3 linked regions of the Arabidopsis thaliana genome follow. The protein of the gene in region 1 interacts with the protein of each later gene in a pairwise test. Each region holds a gene or a part of one and is shown on either strand. Other genes may lie near its edges. The genes, in order: AT5G23820, AT5G42220 and DSK2.

Region 1 (6,642 bases):
CAAATGACTTAAGGTAGATGTGACCATCGACTAAAATATCTTATATTATTCATATGAACACGAGTTTTATAAATTGGTACACGTAAATTTACAATAATAGTAGTAGTCAACCATCTGTCTTCCAATTCACTTAGACAAGGTTTCATTCCTCGGTAAGATAAAATGAATTCACATCGTGTACCCGCATAAATAGAAACAAACATACACATTACCAAATAACTTCATCTTCGTCCACACAAAAAATGGACATTAAAGAAGATGACGAGTCTCGAGTTATAACACCAACCGAGCTTCAACTTCATGATTCAGTTACTGCAAGAACAGGTAAATCTGTTAGTAATCATATAATCCATAATCATTAGTAATCAATCAAATAATTATTACGTTGTGTTTTCTTGTAAAGGAACGTTATGGACGGCGGTGGCACATATAATAACAGGAGTGATAGGAGCTGGAGTGTTGTCGTTGGCTTGGGCCACGGCGGAGCTCGGCTGGATCGCTGGTCCGGCCGCCCTTATAGCCTTCGCCGGGGTCACACTTCTCTCTGCTTTTCTTCTTTCCGATTGCTACCGTTTCCCTGATCCTAACAACGGTCCCCTCCGACTCAATTCTTACTCTCAAGCCGTTAAATTGTATTTAGGTCAACTTCAAAACTAATATTTCCGATAAGTTCAACTAGCGTACTATCTTGCCACCTAATGGAAAAGTTTTCAAAATCACGAGTTTAAATACATGCAATAAGAAATAACAAACTAATTTGGTCCGGAAAACTAAATTTTTATTTTAGTTGTAATTTAAATTTATTCATATGGGTAATTTTGATTTGCAGGGAAGAAGAATGAAATTGTATGTGGAGTCGTTGTATACATTTCCCTTTTTGGTTGTGGCATTGCTTATACCATTGTTATAGCTACATGCAGTAGGTAATAACATATGTAAACATATTTCAACTGTTGTTCTATTTCCTAGGAATTTTTTATTTTCCAATATTGATACGTAGAGTTTTTTGTTTTTCATTTCATTACAGAGCAATTATGAAATCGAATTGTTATCATAGAAATGGACACAATGCAACATGTTCATATGGAGACAACAACAACTACTTCATGGTTTTGTTTGGTTTGACTCAGATATTTATGTCACAAATACCTAATTTCCACAACATGGTATGGCTCTCTCTTGTCGCCGCTATTATGTCTTTTACTTACTCGTTCATTGGCATCGGCCTCGCCCTTGGCAAAATCATAGGTATAGATATTACTTTTTCTTTGTCAATTTTGATTTTGAGTATAAAATTATTTTGAGATGGGGGAAGACAATCAAATAACTTTGTTTTTGAAATGAAGAGAATCGAAAAATTGAGGGAAGTATAAGGGGAATACCAGCAGAAAACAGAGGTGAAAAGGTATGGATAGTGTTCCAAGCTCTTGGGAACATTGCCTTTTCATATCCTTTCTCAATCATACTTCTTGAGATTCAGGTAAATAATTTTACCTTCATGCATAATGACGCCAAGTAAGATTAATTAACACATTAAATAGCACTACTCTTAGAGATCAAGAAACCTTTTTTTTACGTGTGTTAAATGAAAATTAAGGACAGGACACATTGAGATCACCACCGGCAGAGAAGCAAACGATGAAGAAAGCCTCGACGGTTGCGGTATTCATCCAAACATTCTTCTTCTTCTGTTGTGGATGTTTTGGGTACGCGGCCTTTGGAGATTCCACCCCGGGAAATCTCTTGACCGGTTTCGGCTTCTATGAGCCATTCTGGCTCGTCGATTTCGCCAACGCTTGCATTGTTCTTCATTTAGTTGGTGGATATCAGGTATCTCAGAAACCCCTTGCCCATCTAACCAACATGCTCGTTGATTTTTATGTTTTCGTTCACATTTTAGAAAACAAACTACCATTCTAGTATTTTAGACAAAATATTTTTGGTTACTATGTGTCATTTTAACGTTTGCGTTTATGATTCACAAAATAAATTGTGTAAAATACCAAAAGAGGTTTTAAGTTGTTATGTAACATGTTCTAAAGCAAACAAACAATCGAGATCTAAAATCTTCCATACATTTCTAAAATATAGAATGACATTTTAGGTATACAGTCAACCAATTTTCGCGGCTGCGGAGAGATCGCTAACCAAGAAATATCCGGAAAATAAGTTTATCGCCAGATTCTACGGATTCAAACTGCCATTGTTGCGAGGAGAGACGGTGAGATTGAACCCAATGAGGATGTGTTTGAGAACGATGTACGTGTTGATCACAACGGGAGTGGCAGTGATGTTTCCCTACTTCAATGAAGTATTAGGAGTGGTGGGGGCACTTGCATTTTGGCCTCTGGCAGTGTATTTTCCTGTGGAGATGTGTATATTGCAGAAGAAAATCCGAAGTTGGACGCGACCATGGCTTCTTCTTAGAGGTTTCAGCTTTGTGTGCTTGCTCGTCTGTCTCTTGTCTCTTGTTGGATCTATTTATGGACTTGTTGGAGCTAAATTCGGATGATTAGCCAATGCCGATGTGATGTAGCGATCCTACTCTAGTTAATTGATAAATAAATGTGAGATCCGTTACAACTTATGTAAATGTAATTCGTATTTAGTATGAAATTTTGATTTTTAATGAATTAACTCTAAAGACGAATTTCCTACCATGTTTTATATTTTAAAACTACCATAAACAATCAAGGCCCCAAAATTATTGGAAAAGATTCAATCAAGGCCCCAAAATTATTTTTTTTCGGTAAGGTAGTCAATTCGTGTTGTCGTTATAGAACATGTGGTTTTGTCAAAAAAAAAAAAGTTTAAAATCAAATTTAATGTGTTTATAAATAATATAGTTCTTCGAGACGGATCGGTCTCTCCGAAATGAATCCACGTGATTGTGAATGAACAAAGGCGGTAGGTAAGGTAGTAAATAATTGACATTAAACACTAATATTATAACCTTCTCGTGTACAAAAACGTGGGGTTTAATATATATGGATATATATAATTTATGCAGGCCCTGGTCCAGAGCATCATATGCTAGTTATGATCCTATCTACTTATTCTGTAGATTATAAAATAGCAGACTTGCATAGAAACATAACATGTATTACAAACTTGTTTAGTCAAACTTGAAGAAGAAAAAAAATCTTTTTAAAGAGCTTTGAAGATCCATGGCGATGTCTCATGTCCAGCCTATGCTACTCCTCCTCGTATCACTCTTCTTCTTACCGGCTTTGCGTGGCGCCATAGATTTCGAATACTGCGCCAGTAAGTATCTATTTGTTAAGTCTTCAGTTACTTTTCTATATGATTTTTGTGTGTTTATTAGTTTATAAATGAATTATAAATTCAGATAGACCTTGATTTCATAGATTCTGGCTTGCTCATGGCTCTGTTTTTTGTTTCTTTTAGTAAACCAATATTTGAACTCTTTGACATTTGAATTGGATTCCAATTTTTTTTAACCTACCGGGGACTCGTAAGTTATAGCTTCCACAATTAATATATGCGACTGTTGCAGAAAATGGAAACGATTACGGAACCGTCACTAGCATTGTGGTCTCTCCATCTGTTGGGCCTCACGAAAACCCAACCATCACTATAAATTTATTCGGTTCTGCAAGTAAGTAACAATTAATTTTATGATCTAGTTTCAACTCTCTCTTTTTTTCTCTAGTTTTGAATATTTTCTTGATAAAATCCTTTATATATATAGGCAAAAACATCCCCGCGGGAACCCTTGTGTACGTAGCCTTTAGAGATGGGGAATTTACCGGCCTTTTAAAAACTTACAACCTTTGTGATGTGAGTGCATGTAACAATGAAGCTGAGATTGAAGCTGGCACCAACTTTGAGTTAACTCTTTCCGACGTTCTTTATGTTGGTTATGATGAGGTAACTACATTTCTACTCTTAGCATAGGAAAATAAAAAGCATGAATGAATGTGAATTTTCCTTAATCCTAGGACCAATGTTTCAAACCCAAGGTTGGACTAATTAAATAACCGTAATTGACCGGCAAAACCCCTAAAACTAGTACAACCGGTTCACATTGGTTTATTTATTTTTCATTTTCATTTTTATTTTTATTTTTTCAAGACTTGGCTTTATGCTTTAACATCACATCTTCTATTAGAAATTTTTTATACTTCCTTTTTCTCAACACGTTTAATTTTATTTTATATTTCTTATAAGTTATTTAGGGTATACTATAATAATTCTGTTGATATTTAAGATTTCACTTTGATATTGTTATTTTGAGTTTAACTACAATTCCATGCTTACAAAGTTAACTTCAAAAGTAATGTTTTTGGTTTCATGATGTTATATATTTCTCATTAACTCTACTTCTTTTCCATTTTATCATGTGTTGTATATCTTAGTGATAAATATAAAAACATTTTATGTATATTATACTATTAGTGAAATTAAATATAAATAATCAAACCGGTCTGACTTGATTCACATTACTTGGCAGGAAATCAAGTACTCGGTATCTTTGCGCCGAAAGACCTTAGAGGAGGAGGATCCAATAATAAAAATGTGTGTCGACTTCAAAGTACCTGCCCCAGCTCCTGCATTTGTCTCTATTTAGTCAAGTTGGCTGATGAAAAGATGTTTCCAAGTCTCTTTTGATTATATGAGTCTCTCTCGCAACTTTGCTTTTCCTTTTCCCTTTTTGTGTTGTCCAACAAATAAATTAAAATCTTGGACCGATATCGATAGCGATATGAACAAGCAATCGAGCATGTCTTTTCTTCGATTTACTGGTTGATATTAATCAAAAATAAAGTTTTTTACATAGGAAATGTTTTACTAGTAGCCCATGAGCATAATAAAAGCAGAGAGAACAGAGAAATATGAGGAGACTTTCAAATAATTACAACAAAGTTGGATGATTATCCTATTTTATATGATTTTACCAATCATAAAGCTCTACAAATTAACAATTAATCTAGGTGACTAAAACAAAATGAATGCTATCATTCTGCATGGTTATTTCACTTAGCCGTTTTTTTTTTCATTTTTGGTGAGAACAGAGAAATATCTCATTTTGTTGCTTCCGAAACTATCATAAAGTATACACTGCAAGGTATAAAGAACCGGTCCACAAATACAGTGAAATTGAAGGTGTGCTAAACATTAGATAACTGGTTATGCACCCTTACGCTAACACTTTTTCTTGCTAAGATACAACATCAAGAGTCAAGACATTTCCTTGAGATATATAGGCCGACTTTGCTAGCCGTTAAAATGTTAACTTTACGTTCTTTTCAAATCTGCAGATTTTATAATAATACAGTTCTTCTAGACGGATCGGTCTCTCCCAGATAAAATCCACGTGATTGTGAATGAGAAAAATTGGTAGGTAAGGTAATAAAAAATTGATGATGATCATACTAATATTTTAAGATTCTCGCTTATTATGTGGGAGATTAAAATATATGGATATAATTTTTGCACTTACGATCCCATCTACTTATTATGTAGATTATAAAATAGCAGGCTTGCATAAAAGCATAACATGATGTACCAAACTTGTTAGTCAAACAAAAAAAAAAAATATCCAAGAAGCTTTGAAGAACCATGGCGATGTCTCATGTCCAGCCTGTGCTTTTCTTCCTCGCATCACTCTTCTTCTTACTGGCTTTGTGCAGCGCCAACGATTTTGAATATTGCACCAGTAAGTATCGATTTGTTAAGTCTTCAATGTTCTATATTTTTTTTCGTGTGTTTAATTATAGAAAACCCCTATAAAACCAATTAGTTTGACATATGAATTCAAATAAATAAGTGGATTTTTTTCTTTCTTAGAAAGATGTATAGATCTAAGTGTTTTTTACCTGCAGAAAATGGACATGATTATGGTGTCGTCTCTTGGATCGAGGTCTTTCGGGTTGGGCCTCAGGAAAACCCAACCCTCACTATAAATGTATTTGGTACTGCGAGTAAGTAATAGTTTTGAATCTTTTGATGATTTTTCCAAATTTCAACTCTCTTTTTATTTTCTTTATATAGTTTCTAATATATTTTTTGATAAAATTCTTCGTGTGTATATACAGCGAAAGAAATATCCGCGGGAACCCTTGTATATGTAGCCTATAGATCTGGGGATTTTACAGGCCTTTTAAAAACTTACGACCTATGTGATGTGAGTTTGGCATGTAACATTGATTCTGAGATTGAAGCTGGCGACGTGTTTGACTTCAGTCTTAAAGACGTTCTTTATGTTGGTTTTGATGAGGTAACTATTTTTAATACTCTTTGTATATGAATTTGAAGTTTCCTTAAGAAGTCCTAGGACCAATGTTTTCTCAAGTAATGCTTTTGGGTTCATGATGTTCTTTGTTTCTCATTAATTCTTCTTTTTAACTTGGCAGGGAATCAAGTATTCCGTATCTTTGCGTCAAAAAACCGCAGAGGAGGAGGATCCAATAATAAAAATGTGTATCGACTTCAAAGTACCTGCCTCAGCTTCTGCATTTGTCTCTATTTAGTCACGTTGGCTGATGAAAAGATGTTTCCAACTCTTTCATTATATGACTCTTTCTCGCTTGCATTTTTCCTTTTTTATGTGTTGTCCAACAAATAAATCAAATCCTTGAACCGATATCGCTATAGATATTGCTTTGTTGTAATTTTGGC
Region 2 (10,185 bases), 8.8 Mb from region 1:
CTAAAGATAATTTAAAACTCACAGGTTCCATATATGGCAGCCATATTTGCACTTTTCTCAATATTTCCTTCATCGTGTGTAAGTTTACATATTATATATATAGATTTTTTTTTTTTTTTGTCAACACATATTAGATATTTTTTATTCGAGTTTATACTTTAATTATATATTGAAATGTATTGTAATTCAACAATTCAAATTTAATTTACAGATGCGAAGCATTGTCTCCAAACAAGTAGCATCATATGAACAGGTAACTAAGTCTTGACTTATAACAAATTCCATTCATTTTATTATACCATAAATACTTCTTGTATAAAATGGACAGAAGAATAAATTATTTCAAAGAAAGAAAAAAGGAGTAGGATTAGTGGCTTACATGAGAAATAATGTTATTTTTACATGAAATCGAACGTTATTATTTAATTTGTGCGAGACTGGTTTTGACTTTTATCAATTTGGTTAATCGGTCAATGCAAACTCTAACTCTCGGTAATATTTTCAGGGGAAAGCCCAAGGAATTATTTCAAGCATATGTTCCCTTGCAAATGTCATTTCCCCGCTAGCATTTTCACCTCTAACAGGTTTCATCACTATTTACATAAGCATTGTTTAATAATGCTATTTCAAAAACTTCTGTAGATAGAAATGCAAATAACTTGCTACTAACACTAGTATTTTTATTTTTCTTAGATTGGTTTCTGTCTGAAAGAGCCCCATTTAATTTCCCAGGGTTCAGTATAATGTGTGCGGGATTTGCCATGGTAATATACTTTATGTTTTTGCATTTTCTACTGAAATTCACTCAAGTTAGCCTCCATGAAACTATACAAATAAATGTCCGGTTAAACCAAGAAAGGAACGTTATCCTTTTAATTAGTTTTTACTTTCTTAGTTTTCATACTCTTATCTAATTCACAACGAATGCTGTTGTTGGTTGTGCAAAAAGGAAACTTTAAATCTTATCTAATTTCCCATGAAAAATCACTAACTCATTCAGTTCTTTTTTTTTTGGTTTAACATTTAGTTATATGACAATGTATGTGAAACATATAAACCTTTTAATTGATTCCTCAAAGTTATATGAGTTGTTCGATTACTAAGAAAAATAATATATATAATGTCCGTTACTTTGTTTTTCTTTGTAGACTATAGCTTTCATCCAAAGCCTGATGATCAGAGCAGCAACACCAATATCAGTTATGGGATCTCCATAACACAGTTTCCTCAAAACCATATGGATTTCGTAGTGAAAGATAATATACAGGTTTTAATTGCATTGGTCGAATCCTTGATGTTTTTTTTTAACCCATATTGTGTACGGGTTTATGATATCTAAAGTCAGCAAGACACCAATAGCTTGTATAGGTTAGTCAATAACTCCTAGGGGAAACACCATATTTAATGGCCGTTTCAGTTAATTTAGATATCTTCTTTCTTTTTTTGAGTTCAAAGTTAGTTTAGTTGTCTAAAGCAACAAAATAGCTCCAATATTTGTATCATTAAATTTATTTATATACATCATAATTATTTTTGTATATATAGACATAATTGAAACATGTTTTATTATAATCTATATATACATTTTTGCAGCCATTTTGTGAAATAAATCCTTTAGTTGTGACTTATTTACAATGGCTGCCACTGGATTTTAATGTTTGTTTTTGATAATTAAAAAGAAAATATTCGAATTAAATATTTGACATTTAACAATCTTCCCAAAATATCTCCACATTAACTACACGATTATTTACTAAAATAATACTTCCAAAATATTTAATATCATTTAATTACTACAAAATTATCATTTTTGATATTGATTTTCTCCATAACTATAACAATTCGATTATAATCATCAAAGCGCAGAGATATAATCTGATAGCATTTAATTACTACAAAATTACAAAATATTTAGACAATGATTCATAAACATATCATAAATAAGATCAACATTAATAAAATAAATAGTTTTTTTTTTACAGGACGGGTTTGACAGGACGATACTTAATAACATTTGTAAACTATAAAATAAAATTATTTTATAGATAGATACAATTTGTAAACTTTTATATATACTAACTTTAAAAAATAAATTGTTCCCGCGGTATACCACAGGTTAAAATCTAGTTGTTTTTGTATTTTAACTAATAATGTGGACTAAACTTTAGGTGGAATACCTTTAGTTAACGGATCCGCTTTCATGAAATTTCTACCTATATGCTTAACTGAAACCACATCATCTTGAATCCTTTCTCACACAATATGACACTCTATGTCTATATGCTTTGATTGTTCTACTTTTGTTGTTGTTTGCATATACACTGCCGCAAAATTGTCAGACTAAACTTTAAATGATCTTTCGACACATAACCAACATGTAGTGTTTTTCACAGACTGTTCAAACCTAATGAATATAGTGTTTTCCCTAACCTAATGGCCGGTGTATTCTACAATTTTGAAAGATTTGCCTGAGTGACAATAAAAAAATCTCAAGCTTGTTTCTATCTCTAATCTCTTATACTGCAAATGTTAGAACGAATACTTTGGCACGAAAAATTCGTACTGAATCGCTTCATATATGTAAACAATTTTTTCTAAAGTTGACTCATTTGAACATTAATATAATTTGATGACAAAAAATAATAAAATAATAACCATTATTAACGACAACAATAACATAGATTCGTTTCAGTTATATGTAAACCATAATCTTCATGATTAATCCAGTTATGTGTAAACTTAAATACTTAAATATTAGAAATCAAAATTACATAATAAAACAGAAAAAGAAGCACATGTTTAAAATTTATTTTAGATATGGTTAAAAAGGCCAGGCCCAGCTTTATATTATTAATAGAAGAGTCCACATTTAGAGCGGAGACTAGGCCTATATTCGCGGAAGCGTCAATTCAGGTTTTCAAAACGTCGTCGTTGTATCTTCCTCCTCTAGATTCTTCTTTTTCTTTTCAATTTCACCAAAATCCCGAGTTCCCGACACAATCGCCCTTGTTCTTCCCCTTTAACTCTGAACACATCAGGTTTGGTTTCGTGTTTCAACTTTGAGATACTTCTCTAGATTTCAATCGGAGAGTCTTTTGTTCCGCCAAAGTTTCAATTTTTCAATACCCCACGACGGCAAATAGGTTCGTTCTTCGTTGCCTTCATGGAATTTGATTGTTTTTTTCTTAAATCTTGATCCTTTTTTTCCGTATCTATAGGCTCTGTTTTTGCCTTAGCAGATTTGTTTTTGGGTTTGGACGGTGAAAGTTTTGATTTTTGAACAGTGATATTACAATGACTTGCATTTATTTGGGTCTGGGTCTTTTGTTTGTGGCTTTGGATGGTGAAAGTTTTTGATTTTTAGCATTTTTATTACAATGACTTGCATATATATAGGATTTGGTCTTTTGTTACAATGACTAGCATTTAGTTATGTCATTTGTTTGTGTCTCATTGTTGATTCTGTTTTGTATGATCAATATCTGGAAATGTGTGTGGTAAAGGTTTTGATTTGAGTACCCTAGAGATAATATTGTTTATTATGAGATCATTCTTTTGTAAGATGAATTTACAAGCTTTATGTTTTTTAAATTTTAATACTTTAGGGTTCATGGAAGATCAACCCATTAACCAGTGCTCTAGTAGCACCAATGCGTCGGAGAAAACTCCAGAATCAACCCTTGAGCTTAACATCAAAACGTTAGACTCGCGGACGTATACTTTCCAAGTGAACAAGAATGTAAGAAATCTTCTTCTTCTTCTGCTTCACCTGCATATTTGCTTAAGTTTAGTTTGCTTATATCTGATACTGCTTAGGGCTTGACTTGTTGCAGGAAACTGTTTTGCTATTCAAGGAGAAGATTGCTAGTGAGACAGGGGTGCCGGTTGGTCAGCAGCGGCTCATTTTCCGAGGACGGGTTTTGAAAGATGATCATCCTCTCTCGGAGTATCGTATCCTAGTGCTAGCGACTTTGTTAACTTGTTGATTTTATGTTATAGTGTAGCTGTTTGTTGCATTATGCCATGTGCCCTGTGTATAAAATGCATGTTAACCAAATCTGTCGGAAGTCTAGTTTTTGATTGATCAAGTGCATCTCTGCTTTTGTGAGTCTTACACCGTAGAGGAAGCTGTAATCCAGAAAGAGAACTATATATATATATATACCTTCGATAAGCTTAGTTTTAGTTTATGTCTGTCGTTTCCTTCCATCGCTTTTCTACTTTCAGTATAGTTGATAACTTGACATCGTCATAGATTTGGAAAATGGGCATACTTTACACTTGATTGTGAGGCAGCCAGCAGAATCAGCTCCTTCCTCTGGTACACCTTCACAAGGGGCAACTGCAAATGATGGTAATCAAGTTATTTTTTATCCCCTTTCTGAGTTTTAAAAGAGCTGTTAACACAACCATCATCTTATTTCAACTTGTTATTTAATTCAACAGGAAATAATACAAATGGTGGACCATCTCGAAATGGAAGACATGTCTCCCACAGCGTAGTTCTTGGGTCTTTTAATGTTGGAGATCAGACAGAAGGCATTGTTCCAGACCTCAGCCGGGTAATCCCCAAGGATTTGTGATATTGTTTGGCCTATGGGATGGTTTGATTAGTTAGGCTAACCTGCTTTTAATTTTGTGTTGCTAACTACTAAGGTCATTGGAGCAGTTCTAAATTCTTTTGGAGTTAGTGGACAGCTTCCTACAAATCACAGTACTAATGGCACGCAATCCTCTATGCCCGTGAGTTTTTTTCTCGTCACTCTCTATTTCGAATTTATTCCATATTAGTGCTTAGTCTACATTAAGGATTGTTGAGAATCAGGTGTTGTTACTATTTGATGTGTAAGGTTTCATATTGTCATCAACTATTGCCTGTTTCTAAACTCGATGTTGCATGCGCTTTTATTTTTCCTAGTCGAATCAGTCGTCTAATGCACCTCCTGGAAATACATCTGATGGAGAGCCTGGCATTGGTGGTCAAAGCCAAGCTACGGGTCATTCACAACCTAGGCAAGCATTTCCTGGTGTATCATTTCAAACATCGATGCCTCGTGTAGTTCAGATTCCTGTTACAGCAGCCACAACGATTCCTATCCCTTCATTCTTAACGGTAGTTCTTAGTCACGTAGTAGTATTTTGATCTTGAGACTAGAGCTTTAATCTTGTCATTTTACAATGTAACTCTCTAATTCTGCAGCCTATTCCGGATTCCTTAGACACTCTAATGGAGTTCATTAATCGGATGGAGCAGGCATTATCACAAAATGGTATTGTGATCTAAGTTTTATTGTCATATTGGATAGAGAACACATAAATAAGTTAATTGGATGTTCCTCCAGGCTATCAGCCAGATACCTCTTCTGCTGGATCCGGAGGGCGACCAAGGGAAGAGTTGCCTAGAAATAGACGAGGTGCAGCAACACCTGAAGCACTCTCTGTTGTCCTAAGGAATGCACAACATTTACTGAGTGGTCTCGGTGTCTCTTCTTTATCGGTAAACACCTTCTTCACACTGCTTATTAATTGATTCCATTCTTTCTCTTTACAAGAACTGTTATGTATATGGTTACCATGCATTGTCATCTAATTATGTGCTGTTTGTAATTTGCAAAAACATTGTTGTAGCATATTGCGGGACGTCTGGAGCAAGATGGTTCATCTTCAGATCCTACTCTAAGGTCACAAATCCAGACAGAGGCCGTGCAAGTAGGTCTTGCCATGCAACATTTAGGGGCCCTCCTACTGGAGCTTGGACGCACAATTTTGACATTGAGAATGGCACCGTCGCCGGTGCGTTTTGGGTCATTCCTTTCGTGCATTTTCCTATTCATTCTTGACATGCGGCTCATTAACACTTTGATCTACAGGAATTATCCTATGTGAATGCAGGGCCTGCTGTGTATATATCTCCATCAGGACCGAATCCTATTATGGTTCAGGTAAGCTTCTAGTCTCATCTTTTTTCTAAATTAATTTTCTACTTTTATGTAATTATTACTGTATTTTGCAGCCTTTTCCTCACCAAATCAGCCCTCTCTTTACTGGTGCTACTGTCTCATCAAATCCACTAACCGGACCTGTTGGTTTAGGAACTGCCCAAAGGCACATTAATATTCACATACATGCTGGTGGGTGAAGTTCACTTTTTTGCTATTGGACTTAGCTGCACAATTCTTCTCCATTAAAATTCATACTTAATTACCAGGCACATCAGGTTCACCTATGTTGTCATCAGTTGGGAACCAGCGAAGCAATGGAGAAGGAGGACAAGGAGACCGTGACAGCAATACAAGTTCAGTTCCTGCGGCTGTTCCATCACACTCTACCGGTGAGAACGTTTCTGCTGGGGTTCAACCTGGTTTGGGTGATGATGTTTCAGTTGCTCAAATCAATGCAAGGATAAGAGATATGGTAAACATTATGCAAGGAAGAGACCAGATTCCATCGGGTAGGTTTCCTGCTGACTAAAGTTTTACATTGTGGACGAAATGTTTTCAAGCTCTTCTTCACGTGTCAATCAGGAATAGAATCTCTCGAGAGGGATATGTCTACGGGCCATGGTGTTGCCACTGCTATGCCTGAGCAGCCTACCAACATTGCAACTACTTGCGCACCTGAGTCGTCTAGTGGCTCACTGCATGACTTACCATCTGAGAGGAGCAACTCAGTGGTATGTCTTCTCTGCAATCAGATGATTCTTTATTTTATGTTCACCAGGGTTAGCCTACCACTAATTTTTGTTTTTTCAACCAGTGTCAAAATGAAAAAGATCTTGGTGGAGATTTAGAGCATCCAGCCCGAGCAAAAGATACCTCTTGTACTACAGGACAATCATCAGCTCCGTCTGGAGATGCTACCGGTGATGCCAAAGAAACCAATAAGGCTACTCCAGAGGTAGCTACAGCTACACCACTTGGATTGGGGCTTGGCGGTTTAGACCGTAAGGTAATGAATCAGTTGAAAAATAAGCGTCAAGTTGCTGCTGCTTGTTTTTCATTGCATAGCATATCCACAAGTGTCATAGTTCCAAATGCTTACAGTCATAGTATGTTTTTTTTGGTTAAAGAAACGAAGCAAGCAGCCGAAGGTATCAGGTAAGACTGAAGATAGCGGGACTTCAGCTACACTTGAAGGTGTGCAACAAAGCAGTGGGACCAGTGGTCAGCAGCTTTTGCAATCTCTCTTTTCTGGTAGTTCTCGTTCAGATGAGACTGGTCTTAGACGCGGGCAAGGTTCAGATGATCGTGTAGATGTCTCAAGTGCAATGTCTCAGGTCCTGGAGAGCCCTGTATTGGATGGATTGCTAGCAGGGGTATCTCGACAAGCTGGTGTTGATTCACCAAATATGCTGAGAAATATGCTCCAGCAGTTTACCCAGAATCCACAGATCATGAACACAGTCCAACAGATTGCGCAACAGGTGGATGGGCAAGAGATAGAAAATATGATGTCAGGTGGAGCTCAAGGCGAGGGCGGCGGCTTTGATTTCTCTAGAATGGTCCAACAAATGATGCCTCTAGTCTCACGTGCTTTTAGCCAAGGAGGGCCATTGCCTCATCCCGCAACAATACAGCCTGATGATCGTCAACCTTCTCAGGTACATCTACGAGTGTTAGGTTTGGATTTCTTGCGTTTTTGATTTAGGAAAAAAATGTGGCTGAAGAAAAACTGATACTATTATCGACTGAGTAGGATTTTGTTGTTGTCTTTTTTTAGTTGTAGAAAAAGTAACACCATTCTTACCTAGGTATTACAATAAACGTCATTGTCTCTTGTTCTATCTCGTGTAATGAATGTTATTTTTCTACTTTTTCCAAATAGGTAAATGTTCAATCCATGGCTCAAATGATTGAGCACTCTGATCCACCAGAGGATGTCTTCCGTGCAATGGTCGAAAATGCTGCGATAAGCCAAGACGAACTAGTGAACGAGCTTTGCTGTGATGAAGCTCTTTCTCAAGTAAGCATCAAAACTGACTAGTTTGTTTGTTTAATAAAAATAAAGACTCCTTGATCAGACTTGTATTTGAGTGTTGCAGGAATATGCGGAGTTGCTAAGACGTGATATCGAAGGCCGGCTAAAAGATGATCAAGGTCTATAAGATATTTGGTTGAATTGGTTCTGTAAGTGTCATATCTTTGAAGTATCTTTGTTTATTTGCTGAGATCCCTCACTTATGTATTAAGAATTAGGGTTTGGGATGGTCTATACTCTGCTAAACATAAGCAAACGTAATTTATCTGGTCTCTAAAGGGCCGATTCAATTTGATATTTCCATCTTTAACCAGAGATTACTCATAACTCTCGACATTGACCAAATTACTTGGGAAAAAGGTGTCCCTTTATAACTGACAATTTTGGTTTTGATCGAAAATTTGGCTAAAGGGCTACACTAACGAGTGACTGTAGCAAATTATATATTTAGTTTAATTCCTTAACAAATAGGTAATAAAGATTGCACAATAAATATGGAATGTAAACTAATAAATAGTAGAATAATTCAGAAAAATGAACTGTCACGACAACCCCAATAATAAGATGTTATATATTATTTAATTTTTATAAAAAATTATATATTATAAAATTTACTATGAATTTTTAATATGTTTAAAATTACAAAGTTGTTGTGTTTGTTTTGTTGTACAAATTTATAATTTTGGATTATGACAAATTAATAATATTGTTTTATTTTATATTTAATTTCTAAAAGATTATTAAAATTTGTTTTATGGTTTTACGTATTCAAGGGTTGTGAACAATTGATCACCACCGGAAAAATTAAGGATGACGACAAAATTGAACTAAAACATCATGGGTTCAGAGATTTTCAAGATCAGCGAGCCATGACTTAGCGACATCGGAGATCATGAACATTCCTAAGACAAGCTGTCTTTTGTGATGAGTTTTGCAAATAATTGTTTCATCGCTAATTTTTCTTACTTATGACTTTTCTAGAGTGAAAAAGACTAAATTTTTAATTATTATTAGGACCCAAGTTCGAGATTTTCTAAAATAAATCTCAAATGGTTCACCAAGATATTGCAACGTTTGTATTTCATCCAAATTGAGCGAAAAATGAATAAATGTTGCAATTCCTTCATTTGAAAAGATGCAAAAGAGAAACATCGATTGTGTCAAATCAAACCAACTTCAATTATGGTATGCTTTGTGCATTTCACTCTCGATCTTTTGAATATTCAAAGTCGTATGAAAACTAGTTATGTTGCTTTTAGTAAATATCAACATTTTATTAGATTATTTTGTCACACAACAACAATGCTTTTGATGATCAGGCTTCATAGTACATTCCCCATATAAGTAATAGGCTATTCTTACACAAAAGAACAAGCATCCTTCGTAACCATTTTTACACGGTTCTGGGCCGTAGCATTTATCTTCTTGCTTTATTTCAAAACCTATATTATAGTAATAATCAAGAGATCAATATATATATAAACTCATAAGAAAAAAGTGGTTGATTCATAATAAGATAGTACCAGAAGTGTTATCTAATTCCGAGCAATAAACGAAAGGCATGACAAAGAGGAGGATGAGTACAAATGCGGCAAAACATTTCTTGGTGATAGCCATGTCTAATATAGTCTCTTAAATTTTCTTACGACTGATTCTAGCACTTACGATGATTATATATATAATAACACAAACATACATTCAAAGGTTCTTTTTGGTGAAAGAGGAAAAGGAAAAGAATCCAAAAAAAAATTCTCTTGAGTTAGTCAAAAGAAAAAATAAAGAGATAAGTATTCTTACCTAATTATGTTTGAAACATTAATAAGATAACATACATTGTTTTACAAATATTTAAATACGAAAATTCTTTTCAATTCAATTAAAAAAAAAAAAGATCTCAGGTTCCATGGTTGGAACTTGAAGTTAAATTGAATTTTTTGTTAAAGATAAGATGTAATAATTTGATCTAAACAGAATTAGTTTATATTATATCATTCTTTAATATGATTAAAGGGTCTATACTTAGTTTATTAAACAAATATACATAATTTTTTAAGAAATATATATTTTTATACTAAAATAATATATATATATATTGTGAATTTTAACGCCTTCTATAGTTAAAAATATTCAAGTAACAACTTTATGTCTGATATATATTCAATAATTTCAGATTACAATAAGTCTTCGCAATTCTTCGACAAAAATATT
Region 3 (8,040 bases), on another chromosome or scaffold:
CCGCTCCCAGCATACCGAGTCCACCAAGGCCTCCAAGCCCACCAAGACCACCAAGTCCAGCATTTGTCCTTCCAGGGGCAGTTGTCTGGCCTGTCAAGTAGCCCCACAATATGTTCTAAAATCTTTAGTGCATTACGAGTAACAGTTAAACTAGAAACAAACAGCCAAGAAACTTATTCATAGACAAACTAGTCATAACAACAAACTGTGAGAACATGAACTCACCAATTATTACTATAATCAATACTATTCCTGACCAGTGTGGTAAACATAAACTTTCACTTCTTAAAAACAAGCCACTCTTGCTTTTATATTTAATATTTCAACCTTAAACTACAAGTAAAATCCCATATGAAATTAAGAGGATGAGAATACAGTTTCTTACCAGCCGTGGCACCCCAAGGATTAGGAAGTGGATTTGCATTAGGTGTACCCGTTTCAGCATTCGGTGCCGAAATATTATTAGAAGTATCGCTTCCTTGTGTAGTAACCCCCTGGTTTCCCAGAAGAGCAGCAAATGGATTAGAGCTCGTATTGTTTCCAGCATTCTCGGACATAGTGGTAGCATTCATTAACGGTTCCTGGACATTTTCATACATACGCCTAAGCATGTTAAATCCCTCAGGCATAGACTCAATATTACTCATAGCCCTATCAGTATTTCTCATCATTTCACGCATAAGCTCTGGGTTTCTCGCCGCTTCTAGAGTTTGACGAAGGATGCTTGGGTCATTGAGCACATGACCAAGCTCAGGATTGCGATCTACAAGCTCACGCATTTGAGGGTTATTCATAATCATACTCCTCATAAATTCTGGGTTGTTCATAAGATTCTGGATGGCTGGAGTATTCATCATCTCTCTAATCATGTTAGGGTTCTGAGCTAGTTGTTGCTGTGCCTGCTCAAGATCAGGAAGACCAGATCCAAATAATCCAGCCATAGCATTTCCACCACCCAAAGGATTAAATCCAAGGCCAGGGAACAAAGATTCACCTCCTCCGAGGTTTGAGCTATCATTTGAACCAACCGCTTGAGGAGCAGTGGTTTGGTTTCCAGCATTTGCAGCGGGAGCAGAAGGAGAAGAAGGCACAAAACCTCGAACCATATGAACGGTGTGATCAGCCTGCAAACCTATATATAAAATGGTCCACAGAGAAAGGAAACATTGAGGCTCATGATGCAAAACAATAAAACGTGGAAACTATCCAACACAATCATATCAACAACAGCCATTGATGGAGAAAATATACATCCCAAGAAGATACATGATCATGAGAACATTAGGAACTCTAAGAATGGTATGAATCAATTATCGTATCACTAACTACATCTCCTTATTCTTCCCATAGAAGGATTAAGCATACATCAAAACTCATAAAATCATCCATGCTTCTGTAAAAACCTAACATAAATCCAATGTTCCAACCCCCTAGAAACCCTATGAGATTTTCAGTCAAATTAAAGCAACGGAACAACAGAAATGAAACACGAAATGATCAGAAAATTACCATAGCTGAGGAGAGTCTGATCGTCTTTGAGGATACGTCCCTTGTAAATCAAACGCTGCTGATTTGCCGGCACATCGCTGTTCTGCGCAATTAACTCTTTGAAAGACTCCACCGTGGAATCGAGGCTCGTCGTCACACTAAATTTCGTGCCATTGGAGCATCTGACGTTCACGGCAACAGCTACGCCTTCAGCAGTCAGCGGCTGCCTCGAATCTGCTTCACCACCCATTCTAATTTCAGATCCTAGTTCAACAAATCGCGAAATTGATCGGAGAATCAAAAGCTCTAAACCTAGAAGAAAAAATCGTAGAAGAAGATTTGAGGAGACTCGAAGCTCTAATAAGTCGGTTCTGAAGATTTCTTGAGGAAAGGGATATAAATTATTTTTGGTCGAATAACAAATGAGACTGCAGAAAATTAAAGAGTTATTTGGCCCCGAACGGCCAATTAAATGAGAATCCAGAAATGACTTGCGCTTCAGAGAACGTATCGACGACTCTTACTGGGTAAGATTGGGCCGGGTCGGGTCTAAATTGAGGCATTTGGTATATAGTTCAGGAAGGAATTGGCTGTAACTTGAATCTAATTGAAGATGATGAATCAACTAATTGGATATTCCTTTGCAACATGCCACTTCTCTCTTTGGGCAATTTGGTTTAACCTTTGAACCGGATCAGAAGGAACCAAAAATTTAATGGGTTCAATTTCACTTTGATGTCTATAAACATTTACAGATGTTGTATGTTGTAACAACTTGAAATAAGTTATCAAAGATAAACACCCAAGATATATAGGTTTAAGGGTAGTTAAAGACGAAGAGTGACCACTGATAACAAATACCGTATTGATGCGGCTTTTCTATCAACAAAGTTCACGATCCTATCATATATAAATTTTTATGAATTCGATGAATATATCATTACTGAAAAACACACATTCAAGCTGTTTATTCTATAACTGAGAAGCCAGATGGAGAGACATCAGTTCATGAACCTGTATGCTACTGTCCGATACTCCCCAAGAGTCGTTCTACAGCAGCGTTAACGTTACCATTGGTTGCAAGCAACGCCCTAATGTTCTCTGCTCTGTCATAGAATCCCATTTCCTGCAACTGTTGCAATTGAGTAGCGTACCGCTCTTCAGGAGGAACTGGAATCAAACAGACAAGTTTCAGTGGAACCATCACAACAGATGCGTAAGCTAAAAAAAATTTGTAGTCTCTAACCATTGGATTGGTTCGTGCCACTCAGGCCGCCAGCACCAAGACTGCCAAACATATTCATCAATAAATCCAGCCCCCCGTTATTTCCTGTCCCCATCAGTATTGTCATTCTACTATTAACTTGTATACGATACAATATCTGCTAAAATAAAACATACATGAAAGCAAAGAGAACTAAAGAGTAGCTGCTATACTACGTAACATAACTAAACCCTTTATACTACTGTAGAATAAATACATATAATATCTTTAAGAGTACCTGTGGCAGCACCAGTTTGCCCCGCATCCCTACAGAGAAGATAGATTTGGGAACATGAATGCGGATTGATGAAAATCAAAATATGGAGATTAACACACATAGCTTATGCTAAAAGGCATAATCAAAAACAAACAAAATGTTATGAGCCCTATTCAAGTGTATTCCAACGATTAAAATGCTTTATTTATAGCCTCTTTGATAGATGTTACTAGTGATCAGCCCAGTAAATCATACAAGAGTTGCTGCATTAGTCATGGTTCAATCCTTTTCTTATTATAGAGATCGTTCACAACCAATCTTTTTAGCTAGTTACAACATTGTCTAAACACTAAACAACCCAAAAAACAATATGTAAAGGACATGTAAATGCTCAACTTTGTTTAAGCAAATCCAAACAACGAAGGGTTTTAACAAAACTTACTGGCTGGCTGTATTTCTATTCTGAGATAGTGATTGCTGTAGAGTCATCATTTGCTGAAGACCAAAAAACAATAGAAAACATTAGGTTTAAGAAACTTCTTTACTTTGTCCCAAAAAAAAAAAAGAAAAGAAACTTCTTTACTTGAAAATAGCTTAGATACAAAGAAATGTTTCTTTTGAGAGACTACCATGTTAAAAATTCATATGCATACAGACAATAGGGGACAAACTAACCTGCATCATCTCCGGAGAACTAAACTGACGAAGGAAATCTGGGTTCTGCATCATTTCCCTCAACTGAGGATTCGAATCTAGCATGCTTCGGAGTTGTGGGTTAAGACTCATAAGCTGGAATCAAGGGAAAACAATTAATATATGTTCACAATGGTAAAAGGCTCTTAAGTTCAGATCATTCTAGGCCTACCTGATTCATGTATTGTGGATTGGAAAATACGCTTTGCATCATCTGCGATATGGCTGGGTTTTGCAATAACTGGCTCAATTGAGAAGCATCTGGAGTCGCACCAAGAGGTGAATCCGCTCCAAGCATACCGAGTCCACCAAGGCCTCCAAGGCTTCCAAGACCACCAAGGCCACCAAGTCCAGGGCTCCTCGCATCCCCACCAACATTTGTCCTTCCAGGGGCAGTTGTCTGACCTGTCAAGTAGCCCACAATATGTTCAATTATATTTAGTGTATTATGAGTAAATGTTAAATTAGAAACAATAAGCCAAGAAAATCATATGCAAAAACTACACATAACAACAAATTGTGGTAACTACACTAACTCACCAATTTACTATACACAATATTGTTCCTGAAGCAGAGCAGTGAACAGTAACGTCCATTTCTTATAAACAAGCCACTTTTTCATTTATAAAATATTACTGCATCCTTCAAAAGACAAATAAAATCGACAGGAGATTAGAAGATGAAAATGCAGTTACTTACCACCTGTAGCACCCCAAGGATTAGGAAGTGGATTTGCATTCGGAATAGTCCCCGTTCCAGCATTTGGTGTCGAAGAATTATTAGAAGCATCACTTCCTTGCGTAGTGACCCCCTGGTTTCCCAACAGAGCAGCAAATGGATTGGAGCCTGTATTGTTTCCAGCATTCCCGGACATAGTGGTAGCATTCATTAACGGTTCCTGGACATTTTCATACATACGCCTAAGCATGTTAAATCCCTCAGGCATAGACTCAATATTACTCATAGCCCTATCAGTATTCCGCATCATTTCACGCATAAGCTCTGGGTTTCTTGCCGCTTCTAGAGTTTGACGAAGGATGCTTGGGTCATTGAGCACATGACCAAGCTCAGGATTGCGATCTACAAGCTCACGCATTTGAGGGTTATTCATAATCATACTCCTCATAAACTCTGGGTTGTTCATAAGGTTCTGGATGGCTGGAGTATTCATCATATCTCTAATCATGTTAGGGTTTTGAGCTAGTTGTTGCTGTGTCTGCACAAGATCCGGAAGACCAGCTCCAAATAACCCAGACATAGCATTTCCACCACCCAGAGGATTAAATCCAAGCCCAGGGAACAAAGATTCCCCAGGACTCGCTCCTCCTAGATTCGAGCTATTATCTGAACCAACCCCTCGAGTAACACTAGGTGCAGTGGTTTGGCTTGCGGCCGGAGCAGGAGGTGGTGCTGAAGAAGGTGCAGAGCCTCTAACCATATGAATGGTGTGATCAGCCTGCAAACCTAGGTATAACATGTTCCACAGAGAATAGAATCCACAAGAATTTCAATCAATAAGGATCTACGAGAACAACAAAAGTACCCACACGAATAAATCAGAAACGATGAAGATTACCATAGCTGAGGAGAGTTTGATCGTCCTTGAGGATACGACCCTTGTAAATCAAGCGCTGCTGATTAGCTGGAACATCGCTGCTCTGAGCCACCAACTCTTTGAAAGACTCCACCGTTGAATCGAGACTCGTCTTCACACTAAATTTCGTGCCATTAGAGCACCTGATGTTCACAGCCACAGCTTCTCCTTCACCACTCTGCGGCTGACTTGAATCTCCCTCTCCACCCATTTCTAATTTCGGATCCTAATACTTAAAATAATCGCAGAGCTCGCGAAATCGATCAGGAGCCCTAACCCTAGAAAAATTCGATAGAGATTTAGAAGACTCAAAAGCTCTGAGTCGGTTCGGTAGATTGCTTGACGAAATGGATCGAAGAGAACAAAACAAGAAGACTTCTGCTTCAGAGAACGGATCGAAGGGACCGGGTCGGGTCAAAAACAAAACCCGGTTCGTTCCTTTTCTCACCCGGATCCGAGAATACATACGGCATCGTATAATAATATCATTTATCTGCTTCGTTGAGGCCCAAAGGGCTTTAGTTTATCGGTCCTGCAGTATCGTCTAACTTCATGCATCTATGAAGACTCTGAACGACATCATTTAATTCAGAATCACTCTGGCTTAACTTGTCTCCAGCCAAAAACCTCTTTGCCAAGTTTCCTTCACGAACCATGCTATAACCCGCAACGACCCGAACCTTTCTCTCCTTCACCAACCTCCTCATCATTGCTACATCTTCCCATGATTTTTCTGCAGCAAATGTGCTTGACGCAAGCAAGTAACCTGAAGAACACAAGGGCTCGAGTTCAAGAACCTCAGCTACTACCTCTGAGGTAATGATCAATTTTTTAAAACGGTTTCTGCAACCGCTAAGAATCGCTCCCCAAGCACTAGCCCCTGCTTTAACATCTTCTGGAAGATTCTTGATAAGTTCCACAGCCGTATCAATCTCTCCAGCTCGGCTAAGCATGTCTACAATGCAAGAGTAATGTTGCAATGAAGGTTTGTGATCTTCTTCTACCATTGATTTGAAGATCATGAGACCTTTCTTTACCAATCCTCCATGATTACAAGCTGATAAAGCTGCCAGATATGTCACAGCGTTTGGTGTGTAACCTTTTTGTTTCATTTCATCGAACAATGCTAATGCTTTATCCGGTAGACCATTAATAGCATATGCTGAAATGATCACGGTCCAAGAGATGATGTTTTTCTCAGTGATTTGATCGAAAGTCCTTCTCGCCATTTCTATGGCACCACATTTTGCGTATGCGTCAACAATAGAGGTACCAACTGAGATGTCATTGATGGCTAAGCTTCTCCGGATAGCAATCCCATGTGCCCATTTGGAAGTTCTCAAGTCCGCTGAAACTGAGCATGCGTTAAGAAGACTTATGACGGTGATAGCATTGGGCGTATCCCTCATGTGACAGAAGATTGAGATTGCTTCATCGGATCGGCCAGCATGGGCTAATCCAGAGATCATTGTGCTACATGACACCACATCCTTGTACGTCATCGAATCAAGCACGGTTCCTGCATCATCAACAAGACTGCAGCTTGTATACGCATCAATCAAAGAACTCAAAGCCACTTCGTTTGACTCATATCCACGCCGAATTATTACACCATGTATTGACTTGCAAGGCAATGGCTGCTCAAAAAACTTGCAAACCCGGAGAAGACTCACGACTGTAACTTCATCCACTTCGACCGCCTCTTGCACCATCAAATGAAACATCTCAAGAGCCTCATCGTACCTTTGATTATGTACAAACCCAGCCAAAATCGAATTCCATGAAACAATGTTTCGACAAGTGGTCTCATCAAATACTCTAAATGCTGAATCAACATCAAATCCTTTTGAATACATATCAATAAGTGAATTGCAAACAAACACATCTGCCAAATCAAAACCTCTCCGTATCGAAAACCCATGAACTGATCTTCCAACATCAATGTCCTCCATCACCGTGCAAGCCTTGAGAACACTTGTCACAGTCACACAATCAGGCTCTGTTTTCGCCTCATGAACCATCTCTTTAAACAACTTCAATCCAACAACAGGTTCCTTGCTCTGCACATAACTTCGGATTACAACACTCCAAGAAATAACATCTCTTTCAGACATTTCATCGAACAGTTTACGTGCACTTAAAGAATCACTATCTGCGTACATACACAAGATCGAATTTTGAACAGACGAAATCCCACAAAACCCACTACGGATCACATAGCCATGAATCTTCTCTCCATCGAACCATAAACTACGACACGCATGAATCACAAGAACCAATGTTGAAGTATTAGGCTCAAAACCCCAAACTCTCAACTTCGAAAACCACCATAACCCTTCTTCTTCAAAACCATAATCGAGAAGCCCAAAAACGATAACATTCCAAGACACCGAATCTCTCGAATTCATACAATCAAATTCTCGTAACCCAGAACACAAGTCTCCACATTTCATATAGAAATCAGCAATTGAGTTCCCTACAGAAACAAAAGACTCAAAACCTCTCTTTAACAGACTTGCTTGAATACATCTACCTTGAAACAGCCATGAGAGCTTAGCACAAGCTTTAAAAACAATGGGGAAAACGAAAGGATCGTTAAATTGAACTCCAGCTCTCTGTATCTCTGAATACCCAGAGACCACTTCCCGCCATTTTCCACTAACAGAAGCTTGCTTAATCTTCGAAGACAAAGCTTGTAGCTTTGAACACAAGTGTGATCCCATTACCATACTTCAAACCACAACTAAAGTTTGAAGCTTTAACAACAAAATTGTGTGAACAATG

The links.
Region 2: the proteins of AT5G23820 (region 1) and AT5G42220 interact in a two-hybrid assay, tested with the Arabidopsis thaliana proteins (one large-scale study listed by BioGRID).
Region 3: the proteins of AT5G23820 (region 1) and DSK2 interact in a two-hybrid assay, tested with the Arabidopsis thaliana proteins (one large-scale study listed by BioGRID).

The regions. Positions count from the first base shown.
Region 1 is NC_003076.8:8,028,219-8,034,860, forward strand, and holds AT5G23820 (MD-2-related lipid recognition domain-containing protein), read left to right. Parts: upstream 1-2,946; 5' UTR 2,947-3,167; coding exon 3,168-3,264; intron 3,265-3,517; coding exon 3,518-3,619; intron 3,620-3,712; coding exon 3,713-3,891; intron 3,892-4,474; coding exon 4,475-4,591; 3' UTR 4,592-4,931; downstream 4,932-6,642. Other genes in the region: AAP7 (amino acid permease 7), read left to right, coding at 243-324, 404-640, 830-923, 1,028-1,248, 1,347-1,480, 1,603-1,830, 2,105-2,512; AT5G23830 (MD-2-related lipid recognition domain-containing protein), read left to right, coding at 5,584-5,680, 5,847-5,945, 6,060-6,241, 6,378-6,494. UniProt on the Arabidopsis thaliana protein: May be involved in herbivory-mediated responses. May play a role in herbivory-associated molecular pattern (HAMP) recognition. May function is jasmonate (JA) signaling in response to HAMP.
Region 2 is NC_003076.8:16,869,352-16,879,536, forward strand, and holds AT5G42220 (Ubiquitin-like superfamily protein), read left to right. Parts: upstream 1-2,886; 5' UTR 2,887-3,143; intron 3,144-3,605; 5' UTR 3,606-3,610; coding exon 3,611-3,739; intron 3,740-3,833; coding exon 3,834-3,951; intron 3,952-4,255; coding exon 4,256-4,354; intron 4,355-4,446; coding exon 4,447-4,562; intron 4,563-4,656; coding exon 4,657-4,743; intron 4,744-4,918; coding exon 4,919-5,113; intron 5,114-5,200; coding exon 5,201-5,270; intron 5,271-5,342; coding exon 5,343-5,497; intron 5,498-5,628; coding exon 5,629-5,793; intron 5,794-5,870; coding exon 5,871-5,942; intron 5,943-6,013; coding exon 6,014-6,131; intron 6,132-6,208; coding exon 6,209-6,451; intron 6,452-6,524; coding exon 6,525-6,673; intron 6,674-6,756; coding exon 6,757-6,948; intron 6,949-7,069; coding exon 7,070-7,600; intron 7,601-7,824; coding exon 7,825-7,962; intron 7,963-8,041; coding exon 8,042-8,104; 3' UTR 8,105-8,126; exon of another isoform or gene 8,127-8,381; intron 8,382-8,750; and 2 more. Other genes in the region: AT5G42210 (Major facilitator superfamily protein), read left to right, coding at 25-78, 212-253, 506-584, 694-764, 1,149-1,217; AT5G42223 (Defensin-like (DEFL) family protein), read right to left, coding at 9,259-9,419, 9,501-9,594.
Region 3 is NC_003071.7:7,479,624-7,487,663, forward strand, and holds DSK2 (ubiquitin family protein), read right to left. Parts: upstream 5,618-8,040; 5' UTR 5,468-5,617; coding exon 5,239-5,467; intron 5,127-5,238; coding exon 4,362-5,126; intron 4,068-4,361; coding exon 3,835-4,067; intron 3,759-3,834; coding exon 3,645-3,758; intron 3,465-3,644; coding exon 3,412-3,464; intron 3,020-3,411; coding exon 2,991-3,019; intron 2,819-2,990; coding exon 2,735-2,818; intron 2,659-2,734; coding exon 2,510-2,658; 3' UTR 2,258-2,509; downstream 1-2,257. Other genes in the region: AT2G17190 (ubiquitin family protein), read right to left, coding at 1-90, 386-1,132, 1,510-1,738; AT2G17210 (Tetratricopeptide repeat (TPR)-like superfamily protein), read right to left, coding at 5,775-7,985. UniProt on the Arabidopsis thaliana protein: Binds and presumably selects ubiquitin-conjugates for destruction. Prefers multiubiquitin chains rather than single ubiquitins, with a binding affinity for 'Lys-48'-linked ubiquitin chains.